Schizosaccharomyces pombe: one gene and its partners. Changing the gene in region 1 together with any one later gene gives a genetic interaction. Each region holds a gene or a part of one and is shown in the gene's direction. Other genes may lie near its edges.

Region 1 (7,275 bases):
ACTTTCATTAAACCCTACCTTCCAGGCTTTGAACATGGATCTAGGTCTTCTACATGAAAATATTACTCTTGACAGAATTCCCAAAGTTCCCGAGAATCATGTCTCTTTGATTGATATCGATGAGGCTCGTGCCAAAGAAGACCCCAACTTTCAAATTCATTCAACTCCTTCTAGAATGCCTCCTCACTATGTTCAACCACACCCTCCGTTCAGTGTCTTTCCCGCCCCTATACTAGACGTTCGTGAGCTCACTAAACCAGGTGCTGTCAAACGTGTGTTCCATTTTGAACTAGACGTTTCCAACTATCCCCTTCCTGAAGGCGAAGAGTGGATGGTTGGAGGGTCGTTTGGTGTAATGGCTCCCAACAACGAAGAGGATGTGGATGAGCTTTTACAATTACTTCATATCAATCCCGACCAGGCAGATGCCCCTGTCCTTTTAAAAACCGATGGAGGTCGTTGGCCCACCATCTGGGCAGAAGACACACCTAGAGAACTCGTTACAACCAGGCGTGAGCTTCTTAAATGGACCGTGGAGTTTATGTCTGTCGCCCCAAAAAAGCAGCTTATTCGGTTACTTGCCGAATACGCCAAGGATGATACCGAGCGGCAAGTTTTGTTGTTTTTGGTCAGTCGTTTGGGACAACGTGCTTTCTGTGATTTAAGGGACCACAACGTTACACTTATCACTCTGCTAAAGGCTTTCCCTAGTGTTCAACTTCCTCTTGATCACCTTTTAACCGTGCTTCCCCAGCTTATGCCTAGATGGTATTCTTTGTCAAACGATCCCAAGGTCAGTAATAATGTATTGGAATTTGCGGTTACAGTTGTTGAAATCAATAAAGTTGAAGGAGGCACTCGTTCTGGTATTGGTTCTGGTTTTTTGAAAAGATTGGCATTGAGATTTTTAAATGGTGAACGAGATCTCGTCCTTCCAATGTACCGCGGTCTGCACAAAAACGCATTTGCCACACATTTTGCTTCTGATGGCCCTATGTGCCTAATCGGTGCCGGTGTAGGTGTTGCTCCCTTTAGAGGTTTTGTGCAACGACGTCTTACAAATGCCACTTGTGCTGGTAAAGTTTGGGTTTTCCATGGATGCCGCGACCAAGAATTGGATGAGCTCTATCATGGTGAGTGGGAAAACCCGCTTCAAAAGTCTTCAGACGATGATGCATCTTCTACAGTCAGCCAACAAACCGAAACTGAAATGGATTCCTTCGAAGTTAAAAAAGACGGTACTAGTGGCCCCAACCATCTTGTTGTTGAATCACGTTCTCACCAACATGCCTATGTACAGGACGAGATTCGACACCGTGGTGACATTGTATGGAGTGTTCTTAGTCATCCTCATGGGAAGGTTTATCTTTGTGGTGGTAAAAAGGGATTTTTAGATGGTGTTGAAAATGCCTTGATTGATGTTTGCGTTCAATACGGAAAAATGAGCAGGCTGGAAGCTACCCAACAACTTGCTCTTTGGCAAAGTCCACTTAACCTTAAATACATAAAGGAGATTTGGTAAATGAATGAAGTTGTTTATCCACGTTACCAATATTTATTTTTTCGTTAAAATTTTTTTTTTGTTTACTATCTTTTCACATTATTTTCGATTCTTTTCTGTCTTTTTTATTATCGTTTCGTTTTAAAAAAATCTTTTTTGAAATGTTTCGAAAGCAATATTTGTATCTCAAAATGGCATTTTAATTCTATATTGGCTTGGGCATATCTGTTAAAACATTTTTTGTTTAGCCTTTTGTTTCCATAAATAAAAATATAAACAAATTTTAATAGTTGATTGTAGTAATATAATTTACTCATCTTATTCTCTTGCTTTGATTTATCCTTCATGTTTTCGTATACTGTTAACTAGCAATCTTGAGACTGTAAAGTAAACATTAAGGATTCGATTCTTTAGTGAACCAGTACCTAGTATCTAATTATTTATTAGCGAATTCTAAGGAAATTTGTTTTGCCCATTAATAGCGAAACATCACTCCATGTCGTACAATCGTTAACGCCGGTAACAGAACTCCGATTAAGTTCAGCCGTTGGGGTATCCATGAGCATACGAGCATAGTTCGCAAGCATTATCATTTTAGGACTCTTCACAATCTTAAGTTATTATTTAAGTGTTAATATCTTTAATTTTACTAGATTGCTTAAAAATTGAGAGTTTGACTAGCCCAGTAAGCAATCGCGTGTTGCACGCAATAAGTATTAGTACGAAAACATACTATCCCTTTATAAGGCTATTTCATGAAGGCGCTTATGGAAGGAGATAGCTTTTTTATTCCTGCTTTTAATGATCAGTGCTCATGAAACCTGTGCGAAGGGGACAAACCGATACTGCTTTGGATATAAGTTCCCATGCCAAAACTAATGGTGACTTTATCAAAAAAATGAATACCACTGATTCAAAAAGGCTCAAGTTACTTGAGGATTTGAAGGGAAAGCTCGAAGTTGAGTGCAAAATACGGGATGGCGCTGAAACGTTGCTGCAAGTCTTCGACACCAATTTTAAAAAAGAAACAAAAGAACGTAAAGAAATGTTAAAAAAGAAATGTACCGATGAGCTCGAATCATCTAAAAAAAAGATAGAGGAATTAGTTTCTAGCATTGAATCTTTCCAAGGAGAAAATGGTGAAGCAAAAACTGGCTCAACCAGTCTCACGAGGTCTGCTTCTGCGACTGTCAGTCGAAAGAGCTCATTGCAGGAAAAGTATAGTACGAGATTTTCTTACAAAGCAGGATGTAGCGATAGTTGCAGTGTTACAGTCAGTGGGACTGGTGAATTAATAGGTCCTACCAGAAATGCGCATAGCAATTTAACTCCTACCGTCATTCAAAGAATTGACTTTGAAAATGTCAACGAAAAAAATAATTCTTCTTCTGAAGATACTCAACCTAACGGAAAACGTCCTTCTAGTTTGCAATCGAATTTCTCACAATTTCCATTAAATCCTTGGCTTGATAATATATATAAGGCTTGTCTTGAAGGCAGTATGAAGGATGTAATCGATTCCTCAAATAATTTATGTGAATACTTACATGAACATTCTGATCCCGCTTATGCAAAAAACTTCTCCTTGATTACTCCGACCATACTTTCAATGCTCGAGTTGAATGTCTCTGAAGTTACGGCTTCTGTTTATAGACTACTAAGGCATTTGTTTCTTGACGCAACAGCATTCTCTTGTTGTCAAATGTTGAATTTACCTTGGATCTTGTCAAAGTCTCTACTTTCTGGTACCGATGCATATCAAATTGAACGAGAGCAAGCATTCCGACTAATCCGAACTCTTTATTTTCTTTCATCAACTGAAGGACATGAGGATTATCTTTCAGGTATTACGAGGACTATCATTTCAATTTGTGAGCATGTATCAGATGTTAGTCGTGGAATTGCTGTTGAAACTCTTATCGAGTTAATGATTATTCGACCAAAAATTTTATTTAAAGCTAATGGTTTAAGGGTTTTAATGATCTCCCTAATCGATGGAAGTATTTCTGAGAATTTAGCAGCTAGTGCTGCACTTGCATTAGTATATCTTTTGGATGATCCTGAAAGCGCTTGTTACGTAAATTTACCCTACGATATTGGCATTTTACTTTCACCTTTTACTAGTTCTTCTTCGCGAGATACATTTAATTCCTCTGAGGAACAGTCTGAACAAGCTGCAAAAGCCATGAAATCTTCCGCCAAAGTTGCCTCTGTTTTGCTTAATTCATGGTCTGGATTATTGGCTTTGTCTACCAATGATTTTCAGGCTCTTCGGTCGATTGTTGATACACTTCGGGTTCCATCCTTTGCTCCACGAAGCGATGTAATTGATCTTTTCTTTTTAATTTTCCAAGTTGAGTATTCAAGTTGGTCAGAGTCTTTTTTGGCCGGAAAACGATTAACAGTCGTTAAAAATCAGGCTGTATCTAATGATGATAACATAAACATGGTTAATATACCGGATGGTTCCAACAAAAAGTACATGTCGCTACGCCAACATTTTACAGCCGTCTTATTATTTATATTTTTGGAGCTCGGTTTGGTTGAATCTATTGTATGTATGATTAGGGCCAGCGATGACCCATCAGCCTCACGTAAAGCTACATATCTTCTAGGAGAGGTATTGAGGCTGTCTGATGAGCTACTGCCGATTCATTTAGGAGCCAAAATACAATCCTTGCCATCTTTATTTAATATGGCTTCTCAATTTACTGCCGAAGACAGGTTTGTTGCCACTTCTGTTCTTCAATCCATTGAAAGTTTGAATAGAGTTAAATTCCATTCTGCAACACAACCTTTCTCGCAGACAACCTCTCTTCTTTTTAAGGAGCAAAAAACTGATGGATCTTTTCGGGGGCAAAGACAGGTTGAGCATGTTAAATTGAAAATGGGCATGCAGATTGATGATTCACATTTTCGTAGTATGCTAGCTGAAACCAACGTGTTAGCTACAAAAAACTATCAAAAATGGCGATGGGATACACTTGTCCAAATTATGGAGGGTCCATTGCTAAGTCCGAAACGTATTGATGAAACTTTGCGAACCACAAAATTTATGAGACGGCTTTTAGCATTTTATAAACCCTTTTCCAACAGATTTTCTTCCATACAAAACACTAAACCAAATCAAAAATTTATAAAGGTTGGTTGTCTTGTTTTCAGGACTTTACTAGCCAATCCGGAAGGCGTTAAATATCTTTCTGAAAGCAAAGTGATTAAACAAATAGCAGAATCTCTTAGCCAGATAGACGGATATTCAGAACAGGTTTCTGAGCCGATTTTCTCGAACAGTAGGCTTCAGAAAACCCTCACCCACGGTTACTTTCCTATGTTAAAAGTATTGTCAAGCCAAAAGGAAGGTCATGCAATTATGGAACGATGGAGGATTTTTACTACACTTTACCATTTGACAGAATTGAGGAACAGAGACGATCTCATAATTATTTTTCTGACTAATCTTGATTATCGGCTAGAGGGGCACACACGAATTATATTTTCTAAGGCGCTTAATACCGGGCAACAGGCTGTACGCTTAACTGCAACCAAGCATCTTGCGGCTTTAATCAATTCTGAGTCTGCCAATGACAACTTAAATCACTGGGCAATTTCTCTATTGATATTTCAACTGTACGATCCTTGCTTGGAAGTATGTAAAACAGCAGTGAAGGTGTTGAATGAAGTTTGTGCTCGAAATGAAAACTTGCTGGCTCAAGTTGTTCAGCTTCAACCTTCATTGGCCCATTTGGGTGAAATTGGCTCACCTTTACTTTTACGTTTTCTTGCTACAACTGTCGGATTTCATTACCTTTCTGAAATTAATTTTATTGAACATGAACTCGATAATTGGTACCATCATCGAAATATAGATTACGTGGATTTATTGGAGCAAAATTTTTTCCTTTCTTTTGTTTCAAATCTCAAAATTATTGACAAGAAAAACAATGAACCAGATGAAAATATACTTCCCCTACACTTTTATGGCGAATTAGTCAAATCTCCACAAGGTTGTGAGGTTCTCGAGTCTTCTGGGCATTTTGAATCTTTTATGGGTACCTTGGTGGAATTTTACGATAAACCGTTAGGAAATGAAGCCATCAGGCAGTTAAAGAGTGCTCTTTGGGCTATAGGAAACATTGGAAAAACCGATCAGGGTATTACGTTTTTAATTAACCATGATACGATACCGTTGATTGTCAAATATGCCGAAAATTCATTGATTCCTACTGTTCGAGGAACTGCTTATTTTGTATTAGGCTTGATTTCCAGGACTTCTAAAGGCGTTGAGATACTCGAATCACTGCATTGGTATAGCCTTATGTCTTTAATGGGCACTTCACAAGGAATTTGCATTCCGAGACATGCTGGACAAGTATTATCAACTCCAAGGAGAAATGTTGAGTTTGTAAATGAGCGCGTGCCAACTCCTGAGTTTTCTTCATTACTTAGCTCTTTAACTAACTCAGAGAGAGAGGTAATTAGGCTCGTTTCCAATTTGTCAAACCATGTTTTAACAAACGAGTCAGCACGGCAACTAACAAAGATTCGTTCGAAAAATGCTAAAGTTTTCTCCTCTAAACGTTTGGTGAAAGCTTGTATGACCATTCTGGGAAAATTCCATTACCGTGTTCAGATTCAACAATTTGTATTTGAATTATTTCCTTACTCGGTTTTATTGTCTTCCTCAACCTCACAGGACTTAAATGAATCCCCGTCCAGGCCGAATAATTTGTCAATTTCCGCATGAACTCCAAATTTCCGAACCTTCACTTTTCTAAAATTTTTGTAAATTAATGATTTTTATGATTTCTTATTATCGTTTTTCTTCTGTTATTCAATAAGTTTGATCTTTAGTTTTCTGCTTATTCTTTGACCTTCCCTCTTTGTTTCTTTTCATAAGTTTATTTACTAAGTTAGACTAGTGTTTACATAAAAGGTGATTGCGCTAGGGTTAGTAATGAGTTTATAATTGTTTTTGGATGTTTAAATTATTAATCTAATATTTATAAGACATGTCTGATACTTGCGGATATTTTTTTGAATTTGTGTAGTTTAGGTAGGCCTGCTTAGCCCCTGGCCTCCATACGATAGTAATATGAACAAGAATATATTGCCTTTCATCTTTTCGTGCTAATTTTTACTTTGTACGCTGTTATTATCAATATAAAAATTGCGTACCACAAAGGTGTACTTATATGTAATACCCATGCTTAGCAAGTTATGCTCAACTTCCACATACAACGTATGCAACGAACGGCAGCCTCATGTTATAGTAAATTAGCAAATCCTATATAACTAAACGAAAGTGTATTTGCTTAACATATCGTGGAGTTTGGGCATATTTCTGCTCACAAGTAAATCTCATACAACATCGCATTTGGTTTTAATTTGTTTTGGTTGTTCGCAAGGAAGAAGATTATTCTTTAAAAAAAAGGAAATAAATTTATAAATATAATTTGAAAAAAAATATATATATATATATTTGGGTTTTTACACTCTTTTGACTACATAACTCGATAGGTTTTCGGATTTGTTTAATAGACAAAAGAAGGAAGTACGTTTAAGGGTTTATTTCTATGGAACATTATTGATTTTTTTTTTTTCTTGCTATGTACAATGTGACATACAGGTTACTTCGTCTAAGCTTGATTTCTTCTCATTCTTTAAGAAAATCACGGTCCTTCGATGTCAAAAACTTTGCAAATATTCATTTTTTTATTCCCTTACCAAACACACCAAAAAAGTTTTATTCTGTGAATGCATTTTCCCCTTTACTA
Region 2 (4,330 bases), 1.7 Mb from region 1:
ATTAACAGAGGTTTGGGGAAAGCCTCAAAAAGACATTTTTTTTCCTAGTGGCTCGGAAGTTGAAGAATCAACCGATGCACCAATTCAACGCACTGTTCAACCGATAGTAACTGGATCATCAGTCCTTGCTTTGAAGTTTGCAGACGGTGTAATGATTGCTGCTGATAACCTGGCATCCTATGGATCATTAGCGCGCTTTTATGATGTTGAACGGTTGACAAAAGTAGGTGATAATACGATTGTTGGCGCCGGTGGGGATATTTCGGATTATCAACAAATCCAGCGCCTATTAGAAAAATTAGAAATAAAAGAAGGAAATTATGGTGACGGCTATGCCTTACAACCTTCGTATATTCATGAATACTTGTCGAAGGTGTTGTACGCTCGCAGAAACAAACTTGACCCATATTGGAATCAACTCATTGTAGCCGGGGTGGATGGGGAAAATAAGGAACCATATGTTGCTTTTGCAGATCTTCGAGGAACTACTTATTCTGCCCCGGCAATCGCAACTGGGTTTGCCATGCATTTGGCTCTTCCTATGTTGCGTAAAGCCACTGACGATGATCGCTGGAAAACGCTTTCTAAAGAAAGCGCTCGTGCTACTATCGATGAATGTATGCGTGTTTTGTTTTATAGGGATGCTAGAAGTTTAAACAAATTTAGTGTTGCTACCATTACACCTGAGGGCATCGAATTCCAGACTGATCAATCTGTCTCCTCCAAATGGGCATTTGCTGAAAAGCAGTATGGTTACGGGACTCAAACCGTATAATTTGCACATAGTAAAGCATTCATGAATAACAAAATGATATGCGATACAACAGAGATGAAAATGCGTTTTGAGATACTAAGCATTCTTTAAGCTCACGAAATACTTCCTAATTGATTCATTTTGGTGAATCGAATGGTAAAAAGATATAATTTTTTCCCTGATTGTAAACGGTATAAATAAACGAGCTCGAGTTTATTGTTCTCTCAAAGCATCCGCTAGATACTTTATGAATGAATTGGTTAACATGCACTGCAACTTACTCTATATGATTACTGAATTGCATTTTATTTGCTTTTGGTTTCAACTTACGTATTGGAGCTAACATGACTTTTACTAGTTAGAGTAAGTTACCTTAAAAAGATGATGGAAGTAAATTGATCATCAATGAGTTGCTTTATGGTTTAATCGCTTGACCTAATAGTCTGTAAGAAATCCAACAATAATTAGGTAACGGTAGAAAGTTTACAAACAAGCTATTTGTATTTCCTTTATATATACTGAATATGTAGCATGGTTCTTTCATAGCGAAAACATAATTTCATTGAGAATTCAAGCATTTTATAATATTTAACTACTATACTTTGTTATAATCATGAACTGGGTAATACTTAGGCCATTTTAAATGGTACATTCTTTAAACCAAACGATCGCACACAGTGGCAAAGGTGAAAATTTCCAACAGCTGACAAACTACTCATAAATATTATATTTTGTTTTAAAAATGATATAAAAGAGAAATGTTGGAGTCTTTTGTTGTATTGACGATTTTATTGAAGCTACGTACGACTAGGACCTACTACTACTACCCTAAAAATTTAACCTCACCATTAGCCAACTAGACCATTGAATGCAACAAGATCTTTTTGGTTCAGATTCAATATGTCCAATCTCTTCGGACGATGTTTTGAAAGCGACAGATCCTAATTTTGAGAGTTGGAGAGAGAGGATCGTTCAGGACGCCTTGAAAATTGTCGAACAAATTCCTAAATGGAAACACCTTGGAAATCATGATGGAGTTGCGCTATACGAAAAGGCACCTGCTTATACTGGACATACATGGTATGGTAGGGTGTCTAAACATACACGTTCCCTGAAAACTTTCAAGGTAAGTTCTTACAAGTGTTGGATAGTGGTTTGTAAAATGGTTCCAAAATTTACCTCTGTATATACAACGTACTGGAGACTCTAATACCATAAAATAGGAATAACATTAGTCCTTTGATAACTTGAGAAATCGATTTTTCAACCTATTCATCCATCGCACTAAATGCTAACAACAGCTTAGAAAGGATTGCTATACGAACATATCAAAAAGGAAGCTGATTATGATCCATTGGTATTTTCAGCACATCAATTGGAAACTATTATCGAGGATGAAATTGAGAGTACGTTTGAAATGTCATTTAAGCGAGTAATGTATCTTCCTTCATGGATGAAAAAATTTTTATTTCAAGCATACATTATTTGCTTATATTTACCATTATTATTGTATTTAATTACTCACATTTGTTTCAGTTTGGATGTACAAGTACAAAACCCCTTGGTTCTTTCGGAATCGAGTTTACAGACAATTGGTGGTTTCTGTGATGCTGGACCCGGATTCTTTTATTGTTCTTCAAACTCCAGTTACATATCCAGGTTCCTCCAGTGGAGGAGGGAATGGTGTCGTTGCTCTTTATGACTCTGTTGACTTTGTTTCTAAGAAACTGGACGGAGATGGTAAGGAAGAGGGTGTTTTATGGATTTGCGCTGTCCGTAATGATTATGGAAGTATGTTTTCTGGATTGTTTTCTGATACAACGTTTACAAAATCATTGGTGCGTCAGGTGAAGCTTTACAATGAATGGTTAAATCGAACGTATCCTCGTAAAGGATAGCAAAAGTTTTGCTGTTGTTCAAAAGTTTCTTAATACCATTTCGCATGCAGAGCTTCATCTTTTACTTTAGAGTTTCCCATTCCTTGTTCATCGCAGTGACCTGCCTATCTTTTACTCAGCGAGTTATGCCCTTGGATTATTAGTAATCATGCATTAGAATGCCACTTGATGTCTGTGTCCTTTTACCTTCTGTTTTCGTAAGTCCTTCAGTACTTTAACTTATCTGCTTTTGAGATTAAACTTGTTATTTATTTTGATTATTGCTTTAATATGTGTTTTATGGAACCAGAATCTTTCCTAGAAGGTTAAAAGGTTTCTCAGCCCTTTTAAATGTTTGGTTTCATTAAAGCTTAACACTACGGGACTCTGTCCGTAGAATTCTTGCCTGTTATTAAAAGAAGATCAAGTTGTCAATTATTTAATACTTCAAATAGACAGTTTATGATGTCTTATATTTCATAAATTGTAGTTTATTTTTTTTTTAGCTTGTACATGCTTTATCAATTGCTATTTGAAATCTGGTAATTTCATAAACGCATTTAGGTTTTTTTTATGCATCGTTGCCGGTTTTTGTTGGTTGTTACCCTTAATTTTGCTCTTCTTTCTGCCTCTTTTTTTCCTTGGCAGTAATTTTTTTATCTGTTTTATTTCGTCCTTCACTTTAATTTGCACAAACTGCTGAGCGGTTTTAGTGCTGTGAATGATGAAATAAAGCGATAGTGTTATATTCCTGAAGTATATCTTTGCTAATTTTTAGTTCTTTCTCCTTTCATTGTTCATTAATGGAAGATTGCTTTGTTTATGTTCAGCCGCAAGCGTCTTTTCATCATGAACCTTTCTATCCTCATCCTACGTTACTGTGGAGATCGGAGCTATACTTTACGTGTTGGTTTCAAGCATAAAGTTTTAACATTTAAATTTTTTGTCTTAATTTGTATTATTAGATTTCGAGTTCTTTTAGTTTATTTAGTCAATATATCTTGATCATTGATAAATACCGTATTGTAGTAATGTCGTTATTTATATATGTTTTTGAAGTAAACAATTAATGTTGCCATATACAAACACGAAGAAAGCTTGAACTGAAAAATAGGGAAATTTACAAGTATTTTAGAGTTAAGAAAAACCATTAATGAAGGTCTTAGGGCTAATCAGCGGTGGAAAGGATAGCTGCTTCAACTTGATGCATTGCGTCTCTTTAGGCCATGAAGTAGTAGCCCTAGCAAATCTTCATCCTGAAGATGGTAAAGATGAGATTGACTCTTTCATGTACCAAAGTGTTGGACACGATGTAATTCCATTGTATGCTGAATGCTTCGATCTACCGTTATATCGAGAGAAAATCGGTGGACAAAGTATCAATCAAAACTTGGATTATCAATTTACAGAAAAGGATGAAACAGAAGACTTATATAGACTCATAAAGCGTGTATTGACAAATCATCCAGATCTCGAAGCCGTTTCTACCGGCGCTATACTTTCCACATATCAACGGACTCGAGTAGAAAATGTTTGCAAACGGTTAGGTTTGAAAAGCTTGTCTTTTCTTTGGCAAAAAGATCAGGAAAAATTACTCAACGATATGGTTGTTTCTGGTTTGAATGCCATCTTGATCAAAGTAGCTGCAATTGGCCTTACGAGGAAGGATTTGGGGAAATCTCTAGCTGAAATGCAAGAT
Region 3 (6,401 bases), 2.2 Mb from region 1:
CGTAGAAACCTTGACAATTGTCAAGTGTTTTAGTAGTTGGAAGAAGAATGCAAATCTTATGAGCAAGGCTCATACCTAATAGGAATTAGTAAGACCCAGCAAACCGGAGCGAACGCCTTTCGTAAGTACTCTAAAGTTCTTTATTTATGTATAGTGCGAAAGAAGGCAATCTTACAATAGGTTATTATTAGTCGCTATTTAGTAAACATCTAAAATGGCTGAAATCTAATATAGGACACATTCGATTAAAAGGAATTAATTGAAATATTGATAATTTGAATTTCAAATAAAAAATCACAAATACTCAGAATACTTATAAGGGGCCATTCATACGCTCGCATCAAATTATGTTGCTGATGCAATTGATACTTCACAAAGGTACTCAACGAGTATAGATTAAATGGATTTATAGTGGATTCTATACAATGAAACACATAAAACAATAACATGCACTACTGAATTCATTCTTATAAAATTCACCGGCAGGAAAACTAACGCACTTTCCTGACGTTAACGATTATTAACGAGACTAAAGTTAAATAACATTTAATGAAGACAAACTGGTAACTAAACTCTCCATTACTTTTGCATTCAATATGATCGAAGTTTTATGGTATGTTTGACTTATTTTACTTTCTGGGAGCATTGAAATTGGAAAACATAAAGCTCTAACTAAATTTTAGTAACGATCGTCTAGGGAAAAAAGTACGCGTAAAATGTATGCCTGATGACACAGTTGGAGATTTTAAAAAACTTGTTGCAGCTCAGACCGGTACAGATCCAAGGTAAGGATTAAATTCATCATTTGTTAAAAAAATGTTAACAAAAAAATAGAAGGATCGTCTTAAAAAAATGGCACAGCGTCTTTAAGGATAACATCACATTAGCCGACTATGAAATACACGATGGAATGAGCTTGGAGATGTATTATTCTTAAAAAGCGAAACTTTTATTTTCTTAAAAAATAATATACTTGGAAGTTTTATGTTAACGAAAGTAGCAAATTGACTTTAAACTTGTTTAATGAAAATCTGATGGATAGAGTTATATTGTTGAGCAGATTTGTTAAGTTTTTTACAAAGGAAATTTGGTTTATTATTTTCAATTTTTTTCAATTCACCTTCGAAGGTTTTGTATTTACCTGTTCAAACTACTAAATAAATAATGATTTTTCGTTGAAATGCTATCTTTTTGAGTCTAATAATTTGGATACTTTTTTATCTTTCAAATTGCTTACCTCCCCAAATTGTGATATAAGTCAGCTAGACAATGATAATAATATTGTTTTCTAGCTGCCATATCAATAGTTGTTCATCAAGCCTTTTACGCTTCTAGTCAAGTGTAACCGCTTTAAAAATGGAAACCAGTATGTTTATTCTTAATATGAATGGATTTTTCAAATTCAAATTTACCATTAAATTTACAAGGCTTATATCTTGTCATGGGTAGGACCAATTTCCTAGGTTCATGACCGTTTATGAAATTATGTCTTCAATGCTTCGTATTTATTCATCATACCAAGGAAGATGAAACAAATTATCAAGGAAAAGAGGGATTCCGAATTATATTAGTATAAAGCTTTATAATGTTACGCCACTGTTTTATTTCTTAGCCCTGCTTTCTTCTGAATGTAATATTTTTTTTTTTTTTTAAGAAAATAATTCTTTGAAACAGGTTTTAAACATTTTTAGTAATGATGAAACTCAATTGACCTGCTTTTCAAAAAATCAGAAAATTCATTAACATGAAAAAATTTCAGATATGTATTGGTTACCAAAAAATCATCTACGGGAGTATTCAATTTTTTTAAAACTATTCTCTGAATTGATTATACTTCTTTTACATTTTGGAGTTGTAATAGCTTGACTCAGAAGTATCTGCTAAGCCTCCATCTTTACTCAAGCTAACCTTTCCCAACTTGTCATCCAGACGATCACCTTCGTTGGTCTAAGCTTACCAGTCTAAAAGGTCGAAACAAAAGTACTGCTTTATTCTTTGAGAATATAAACAAGTGTTGTTCAAAGTTCTAAGCCAGGATTTGCGTTTTTGTATGCTGGGTCTGTTGGTATTTAACCAGAGACGTGCTAGGTTCATAAGTCCGATTTTCTAGGACTTTCTTTTGAAACGTTCTAACAGTGAGCTTGGACAGTTTATAAATTCTTTTTTTATTTCTCACGGGTTCCTTTCAACATTTCTTTGGATTTTATGAGTGATAAGTGGATATTGTTCATTGTCTAGATTAATTGTTGGTAAATTCATCTATCTCTTAATTTTCAACATTGGAAAGTATATTCTTTGTGCTGAGCATTTAGGAATCCTTTACATCTTAAATACTTGCTTTTATACTGGCGTTTTAGAAAGTATCGAATAGCAGTGTCTTTTTTTTTTTTTTGTTTACAAGATTTTTTATTTTTACATTACCCCAACTTTCTTTTACTACTTTTTCTCGTTTTTGTTTTTGTATGAAACAGTTCCATAATGAGTGTTCAATATGATGCATTCAGTGTTGAGCAAACTTGTGCGGATTTAGAAACTGACATGTATAATGGCCTCTCTAGTCTCCAGGAGATCACGCGACGTAACAAGGTTCATGGAGATAATGATTTGAAGGTAGAAGATGAAGAAAACATGGTGGTTCAATTTCTTAAGCAATTTGTTAAAGATCCCCTAATTCTTTTGCTTTTTGCAAGTTCTGCAATTTCGGTGACATTGGGTAATATAGATGATGCTATTAGCATCGCTTTAGCTATAGTTATTGTCGTGACTGTTGGATTTGTTCAAGAGTATCGATCTGAGCAATCTTTAAAGGCGCTGAATAACCTTGTACCTCATTATTGCAATGTTATCCGGTCCGGAAAAACGGAGCATATTGTTGCTAGTAAATTGGTTCCTGGAGATTTAGTTATCTTACAAATTGGTGATCGTGTTCCTGCTGATCTGCGAATCGTTGAAGCTACCGAGTTGGAAATTGATGAATCAAATCTAACAGGGGAAAACTCGCCACGAAAGAAGAGTAGCGAAGCTATATCTTCAAACATATCTCTTACTGAAAGAAATAACATAGCTTTTATGGGTACCCTCGTTCGTCATGGTCATGGGAGAGGAATAGTTGTCGCTACTGGATCTGATACGGAATTCGGTCGTGTTTTCCTTACTATGCAGCAAACTGAAAAACCAAAGACGCCATTGCAGAACAGTATGGATGACTTAGGCAAGCAACTCTCTTTAATCTCTTTAATTGGTATTGCCGTCATTGTGCTTGTTGGTTTTTTCCAAGGTAAAAATTGGTTAGAAATGCTTACAATTGGAGTTAGTTTGGCTGTCGCCGCTATTCCTGAAGGTCTTCCAATTATCGTAACAGTCACCCTTGCTTTAGGCGTGTTACGCATGTCTAAGAAGAGGGCTATTATCCGTCGGTTACCCAGTGTTGAAACTTTGGGAAGTGTTAACGTTATTTGTTCGGACAAGACTGGTACTCTAACAATGAACCATATGACAGTTACTAAAATTTATACATGTGGAATGTTAGCAGCTTTCTCCTTACCAGAAAGTGAACATATAGAGCTAAGTGTTAGGCGCACTGTTGGTATCGAAAAGGCACTTCTAGCTGCTGCTTTATGCAACAATAGTAAAGTTCATAACAAAGCTGATTCTATTTTGGACACTACTTGTCCCTGGGCTGGATTTCCAGTTGATGTCGCTTTAATCGAATGTTCTGAGCGATTCGGGTTGAAGGATCCTCGTGAAACGTACAGTCGTATATCTGAGGTTTCATTTAGCAGTGAGCGCAAATACATGTCTGTTGCTGTCCAATACAACTCTAGCAAAATGAATTTCATGAAGGGAGCCACTGAACAAGTGCTGTCAAGTTGTGCATATTTTAGCGATCAGGATGGTGTTCAACACGAGCTTACTGCGGAAATGAAGGAGAACATTCAACGTAACGAGTTTGAAATGGCTGCTTCGGGACTCAGAATTATAGCTGTTGCCAGTGGTATAAATACCAATAAACTTGTATTTCATGGTCTTTTTGGCATCAACGATCCCCCTCGACCCCAAGTCCGCGAAAGTGTACAATATCTAATGACTGGAGGGGTTCGAGTTATTATGATTACAGGTGATAGCGTTGTTACTGCAATAAGCATCGCTAGAAGTTTGGGTATGGCTATTCCTAGTAATGACGAAGAAGCAATTCGTAACTATGCGCTGACTGGAGCTCAGTTAGATGATCTTGATTCTTCCTCTTTACGTGATGCCGTTTCCCGTGTAGTAGTCTTTGCAAGAACTACACCTCAACATAAAATGAAAATTGTTGAAGCCCTTCAAAGCCTTGGTGATGTTGTGGCTATGACTGGTGATGGCGTAAACGATGCACCTGCCCTCAAACTTGCAGACATTGGTATAGCAATGGGTCGACAAGGTACGGATGTTGCCAAAGAAGCGGCTGATATGATTCTTACCGATGATTCTTTTGCGACTATTTTGAGTGCTGTTGAGGAAGGTAAGGGAATATTCAATAACATTAAAAATTTCATTACTTTCCAATTGTCTACGAGTGTGGCTGCTCTTTCATTAATCGCCATTTCGTCTGTTTTCGGCTTCCAAAATCCCCTCAATGCCATGCAAATTCTTTGGATCAATATTCTAATGGATGGACCCCCTGCACAAAGTCTCGGAGTAGAGTCAGTTGATGAAGACGTGATGATGAAACCTCCTCGTCCAAGGAATGCTCCTATTATATCAGTTCAGCTTTTACAACGTGTTTTACTCAGTGCATTTATAATAGTTACTGTCACTATTGTGGTATTTAGAGTACAAATGCAAGACGGCAATGTAACAGCTAGAGATACTACTATGACTTTTACTTGTTTTGTTTTCTTCGATATGTTTAATGCTTTAGCATGTCGTTCCGAAACAAAATCGGTTTTCAAGCTTGGTATTTTCTCTAATAGAATGTTCAATATCGCAGTCGGAGGCTCATTAATTGGTCAAGCCTTGGTAGTTTATGCTTCCCCCTTTCAGCGTATTTTTCAAACTGAAGCTATTGGACTTAAAGATGTTCTAATATTGTTAGCTTGTACCAGTTCTGTTCTCTGGGTTGACGAAATTCGCAAATGGTATCGTCGCCGTAAAGGTCTTGTTAGAACAAAGAGCAATTATCTGCTAAGGAATGTATAAATGATACGTTTTGCGGTAACAAGTTGCATATCTTTGTGCTAAGTTTAAAATTACTTAAGGAGCTTTACTATTATTTTGTGAATACAAAATTCCAATGCTATATGTATTTAAAAAATTCCTGTATTTTATTAATTTTTTGACTAATGATTATTAGCTTTCCGCTGGTTTCTTATTCTTATGGCACAAAAGGGGTTTGCTTCTCTGCCATGAAGTACTCGAGTCTATACCATTCGTTTAAAAGCTTTCATCGTTACTTTTCATTTCAGTTTTTTTTTTCGAAAATCCTGTATCTTGGTTAATTTTCAAGCACTTAGTATGTTCAGGCTTTATTATTCATCACCTTGATGCAGTCCTCACTGGTTAGTCTTAAAACCAAATTATATGATTTTATTCTGACTAAAGGTTAATCTAAAACATATTAGTTGTAGTTTCTATATAGAAACAAATAATAAAGGCTTATCAAAATTAAAGGTTTTAAAATCGGTTGTCGCTTTTCATCATTTAATTAATGCAAAAGAAAAATTATACGAGATTAAACAGCCGCGTTGCTCTAAATTGTTTTTGTATCATTATATCTTGTGCTGTTTCAAAGTCAGTTTATACATGTTTATTGAACAGTTGATTCATGTGACCGACTCGCCTTAAGTAATTTTTCTTGTCATTAACGTTTGGTCTTCAATGAGTAAATTTTCCATTCATTAGATTGTCACAAGATGTTGGCATTATTGTTTTTATTTCGTGTACATCAACGCTATCGTCGCATATTTGTCGTCCCACTACCAAAATCTGAATGAGGCAAATAAGTGTGAGATAGACACAAATTTGAACCCGAAATTCAATTAAGCAAAGGAGGATGATGAGGTTACCCTCATGGCTTAAAAATTCTTCCTCTTGGCTCTGGACGGCGGCGTTATCAAGGACTGTTCAACGTCGACTATTAGCATTTGCCTTGAGAAAGCTTATTGGATCCATTCTTTTAGAAAATGTGCAGCCTGAGGATATAGACATCCTTTTTTCAAAAGGGGTCCTAATGTTGTCCAATTTACAGCTAAATTGTTCCTTTCTGAATGCAGTGGTGTCTCTTCCAATGATTAATTTTACTAAAGGAACGTTGAGGAGATTAATTTTAAGACTGAATGTTACTGATATTGTAAATTTAAACGTTGAATTAGAAGTCAATGGCTTAAGTTTGGAAATTGAACTAGTACCTCCTGATGAATCCT
Region 4 (3,542 bases), 1.5 Mb from region 1:
AAGCAAATTCTGTTGGTAACACATCTTTTCCTGTTGACAGTAAACTTGCATTCCAATCCTTGGATGTATCTCAGCCGGATTTGCAAGCCAAACAGAAGATTGCATCACAAGTCATGAAACATGGTTTAAAACCAGAAGATCTCAAGTTACCGCCTTCTAAGAAGAAAAAGATAGAAAACTTATCGACAGTTCAAAAACCTAAGGATTCAGTCGTAAATACTCCTGATGTTATAATGTCAAGTGTAGATGAAATACCTTCTAGTGTTTCTCCAGGTACTATAGCCAAAGAGGAAGGAATGGCTAAAGCTCGGGAAGAAGCAATTGCTAATCCTTTGAAGTACGCAATCGATGCATTTGTGGCTGTAGACCATGAAGAAGAAGTTTCTGCTATCAAATCATCACAGACTCCTAGTTCTATTTTGAAAACACCTCAGTCGTTTTTCATTCCTCCGTCAACTCCAGATTTATCATTTACAGATAACAAAAACTCACTTAGTCCATCTAATATTTTGTCATTGGACGGAAAATTTTCATTTAATGATGATTCGGAGCTTTGGGCTGATTTAGGTAATGAAATCAACTCTGAAATCGGATTTTTAAAGGAACCAGATACCATGAATCTTGCTTTGGATGCAGATAAAGATAAGACTAAAATGCAAAATAAGCTTACTCAAATTAATTTTGATGAATCATGTTTTCTAGATCCAGCGATCGACGATAAAGATCCATGGAATGAAATGCTTCATGAAAAGAAAGTTTTGCTAAAGCAGCTTCAAGTGGGTAACGAAGATGAAGACAACATCGCATTTCCAACATCTACAAACATATGGCAAGTTGTGATTTAAAATTTTGTGATACGATGGTTCGCAATTGTTTTTTATTTATTTATTGCACGTCGTCTCAAAAAGCAAATTGGACATATTTGTCCTTCTACAATATCTTATGAATACCATAGACATATATTGTTTCTCTGTTTATTCAACGTTTCTCCATTTTTTGAAAGCATCTGTTATGTTGAAAATTGTGATTGGGAAAAGGTTTGTATAGTCCTTGTGTTTATATACAATGATAAAAATAGAACCTGAATTTAATATTTTGAAGATCCGGTTGTACCTTTATTAGGCACAATGCCAGAAAGTATGGCTTTTTCCCGATTAATGACCTGTCTATGAGACTCATTGTGAACATGAAAATGTCGGTATAATGAGGACCGTTACAAATTTTATTTATTCATACGTTTAAGTTGATTTTAGTTAATTTATTATTAGTGCACCGGTTGGTGTTGAAAATTAATTTGTAATCTCTTAAATGAATATTTGTATAGTTTTTAATGTTTACTATCTCAAATATTCTAAAAGTAGCTATCAGTTTATGTTTTTGCTTTGGTTCAAGAGCTTTGGTTTAACCTAACCGCCAAATAGCTATCTCGAATTACCATCTAACATGAGAAAACAAATTAATATTTCAAAACTCCCGATAATTTATTGAGCTTAATAATTAATTAAAATTTACGTATTATTGAAGTCAATAAAAGCTTTCTTTGTCTTCCATGAACAAAGAAACCTTGTGATCTCAGTCTTGTATATAACACGCTAACTCGTGGCCTACTGTAAATAAAAGTTATCTTACTAACGATATATTATTTCTTGATTCATTGAAATAAGAATCGTAGGATTTAACAATAATTGAATACAGAGATCTCCTAGCTTCATTATTAAGTACAAAATAGTCAATTAATTTTTTTATCAAGCAGATTAATTGCTTTTAAACTTACAATGAATGGTATAAGGAAAAAACCAGCAACCTTGCAACTCCATAATATAAAAACCAGCTGTTTCATTGATGGCAGTGATGATCAAAGCGATAGAACAAGGTCAAGTTCTGGAGATAGCACCTCTAATTCACTGAAGCTATCACATCATATATCTGACGAACTGATCAATGCCATATATAAAGAGTTAAAGTCGCCAGTATCACCTTGGGACAAAAACATTTCGCAGCATTCGCCATGGCTGTTGGAAGCGGCATCGAACTCCATTGGTGATTCAAGTCCTTTACTTTCACCAATCTCTCCATTAAAGTTAAGATTTCATAAATATTCGGTTTCGAAACAGCTAAACAGCGTTGGAAAGCAGGGTTTTGGTCTTTCTTCAAACCATAGTCGTTATGCCTCACCATCCTCCCCTGCACGGCTTGCAAGAGGTGCACTTGGTGAGGAACTTAGCAATTCGCAATACAGATTAGAATGCGCCGCAATTCAGAAGCTTGTTGCTCAAAAACGAGCCAATAGAAGGAGTAGTAAAAGCACTTTAAAAAATTCTGCAAATGATATAGAGTTTTTCGATATTGAAGAAGTTTCCTCTCGCAAGGGACTAATAGACAGAACACCTTCTAAAAGAAATGTTACTTCCCGAGTTTCTGATGCGTATTCTCGTCTTAAATCTGCTGTGAAAGGCGAATCAAGCTTGTCCTTTAAAAGAAACCGATCGAAATCGAAGAGGAAAATTCAGCACCTGGGTTTGACTGAGTTTAATGGGTGGGAACACCATCAGTGCGACTGGCTATAAAATAAGTGTTACTCAGATGCTCCATGTTAGGCTACATGGTGCTAGCCATGTGGTAATTAACATTCATTTATTTCCTTCATTACTTTCTTCCTTAGTCCTCCTATCTCTTATTAGCTGGAAAGCTTTTATCATTTGCATTTTTCTTGTTAATTGGTCTTTCATTTATCTCGTCGTGTGCATTGAGATTTCCTATTTAAGTTTACGACTCATATTGTTTAATCTAATTTATTGTTTGTTTCTAATTATTCTTAATTTACTACCATAAAATTAAATTACTTAAAATTGGATACGTTCTATATGGTATGCATACGATTGCAATAAATCTTTAAAAGCATTACCCACTAAAATATTATACTATGTAACTACAAATTGTAGATACCTTCTGAAATTGATGATGTAAACAACATATTTAATTATATACAATTCCTTTGCGCAGATTTTACAGGCTTTAAAAGCGAGTGAAGATTAATTTTATATATTTGTAGTCCTATTACGTTCATAAACAGATTTCTGAAACATTAACATAAACTGGGTGCCACAAAACTAAATTAGTTTAATCTTCTCATAACATAGATTTATTAGTATGCACACTGTGAATTATGAAACACTGACATTCAGTAGCCAAAAATTCGTAAATTATTAAATATCTAGTTTCCAATTTTCTACGTTTTTATTTGAATGTGCAGTTAATCTGTAAGTATTTCCTTGTTGTTGATTGTGACACTCTTAGTCATATTCGCCGTTTTATAAATGCCAACCAAACGAGAAGATAACTCAAACATATTACTTCTTAAAGAAATAACAATAAACTGCGCGTTTTTAGTTCTTTCCTTAATGTAATTCGCAACAATCGAAACGTTTTTAAAGTCTAATGCAGCATCGATTTCGTCCATAACGTATAAAGGAGTCGGTTTGTAATTATGTAGAGCAAAGACAAGGGCTAGAGAACTTAACGTCTTCTCTCCTCCCGAAAGG

Evidence for each region.
Region 2: mutations in ste20 (region 1) and SPOM_SPBC577.11 together harm fitness more than expected from each alone (negative genetic interaction), as found in Schizosaccharomyces pombe (one large-scale study listed by BioGRID).
Region 3: mutations in ste20 (region 1) and pmr1 together harm fitness more than expected from each alone (negative genetic interaction), as found in Schizosaccharomyces pombe (one large-scale study listed by BioGRID).
Region 4: mutations in ste20 (region 1) and SPOM_SPBC146.02 together harm fitness more than expected from each alone (negative genetic interaction), as found in Schizosaccharomyces pombe (one large-scale study listed by BioGRID).

Annotation. Positions count from the first base shown.
Region 1 is NC_003423.3:2,473,824-2,481,098, forward strand, and holds ste20 (target of rapamycin complex 2 subunit ste20), read left to right. Parts: upstream 1-2,055; 5' UTR 2,056-2,315; coding exon 2,316-6,245; 3' UTR 6,246-6,639; downstream 6,640-7,275. Other genes in the region: SPOM_SPBC12C2.03C (methionine synthase reductase), read left to right, coding at 1-1,522; SPOM_SPBC12C2.01C (uncharacterized protein), read left to right, coding at 7,108-7,275. UniProt on the Schizosaccharomyces pombe protein: Component of TORC2, which regulates multiple cellular processes to control cell growth in response to environmental signals. TORC2 is required for cell survival under various stress conditions.
Region 2 is NC_003423.3:769,696-774,025, forward strand, and holds SPOM_SPBC577.11 (uncharacterized protein), read left to right. Parts: upstream 1-1,598; 5' UTR 1,599-1,622; coding exon 1,623-1,880; exon of another isoform or gene 1,881-1,913; intron 1,914-2,060; coding exon 2,061-2,160; intron 2,161-2,290; coding exon 2,291-2,652; 3' UTR 2,653-3,647; downstream 3,648-4,330. Other genes in the region: pre4 (proteasome core particle subunit beta 7), read left to right, coding at 1-775; dph6 (endoribonuclease), read left to right, coding at 3,785-4,330.
Region 3 is NC_003423.3:239,147-245,547, reverse strand, and holds pmr1 (P-type calcium transport ATPase Pmr1), read left to right. Parts: upstream 1-1,905; 5' UTR 1,906-2,478; coding exon 2,479-5,178; 3' UTR 5,179-5,710; downstream 5,711-6,401. Other genes in the region: ubiquitin-like protein modifier Hub1, read left to right, coding at 597-613, 684-785, 835-937; autophagy-associated protein Atg2, read left to right, coding at 6,035-6,401. UniProt on the Schizosaccharomyces pombe protein: Transports calcium and manganese ions into the cell. Regulates cell morphogenesis through control of manganese and calcium homeostasis.
Region 4 is NC_003423.3:999,236-1,002,777, forward strand, and holds SPOM_SPBC146.02 (uncharacterized protein), read left to right. Parts: upstream 1-1,615; 5' UTR 1,616-1,775; coding exon 1,776-2,567; 3' UTR 2,568-2,927; downstream 2,928-3,542. Other genes in the region: mediator complex subunit Med15, read left to right, coding at 1-845; cut3 (condensin complex SMC subunit Smc4), read right to left, coding at 3,254-3,542.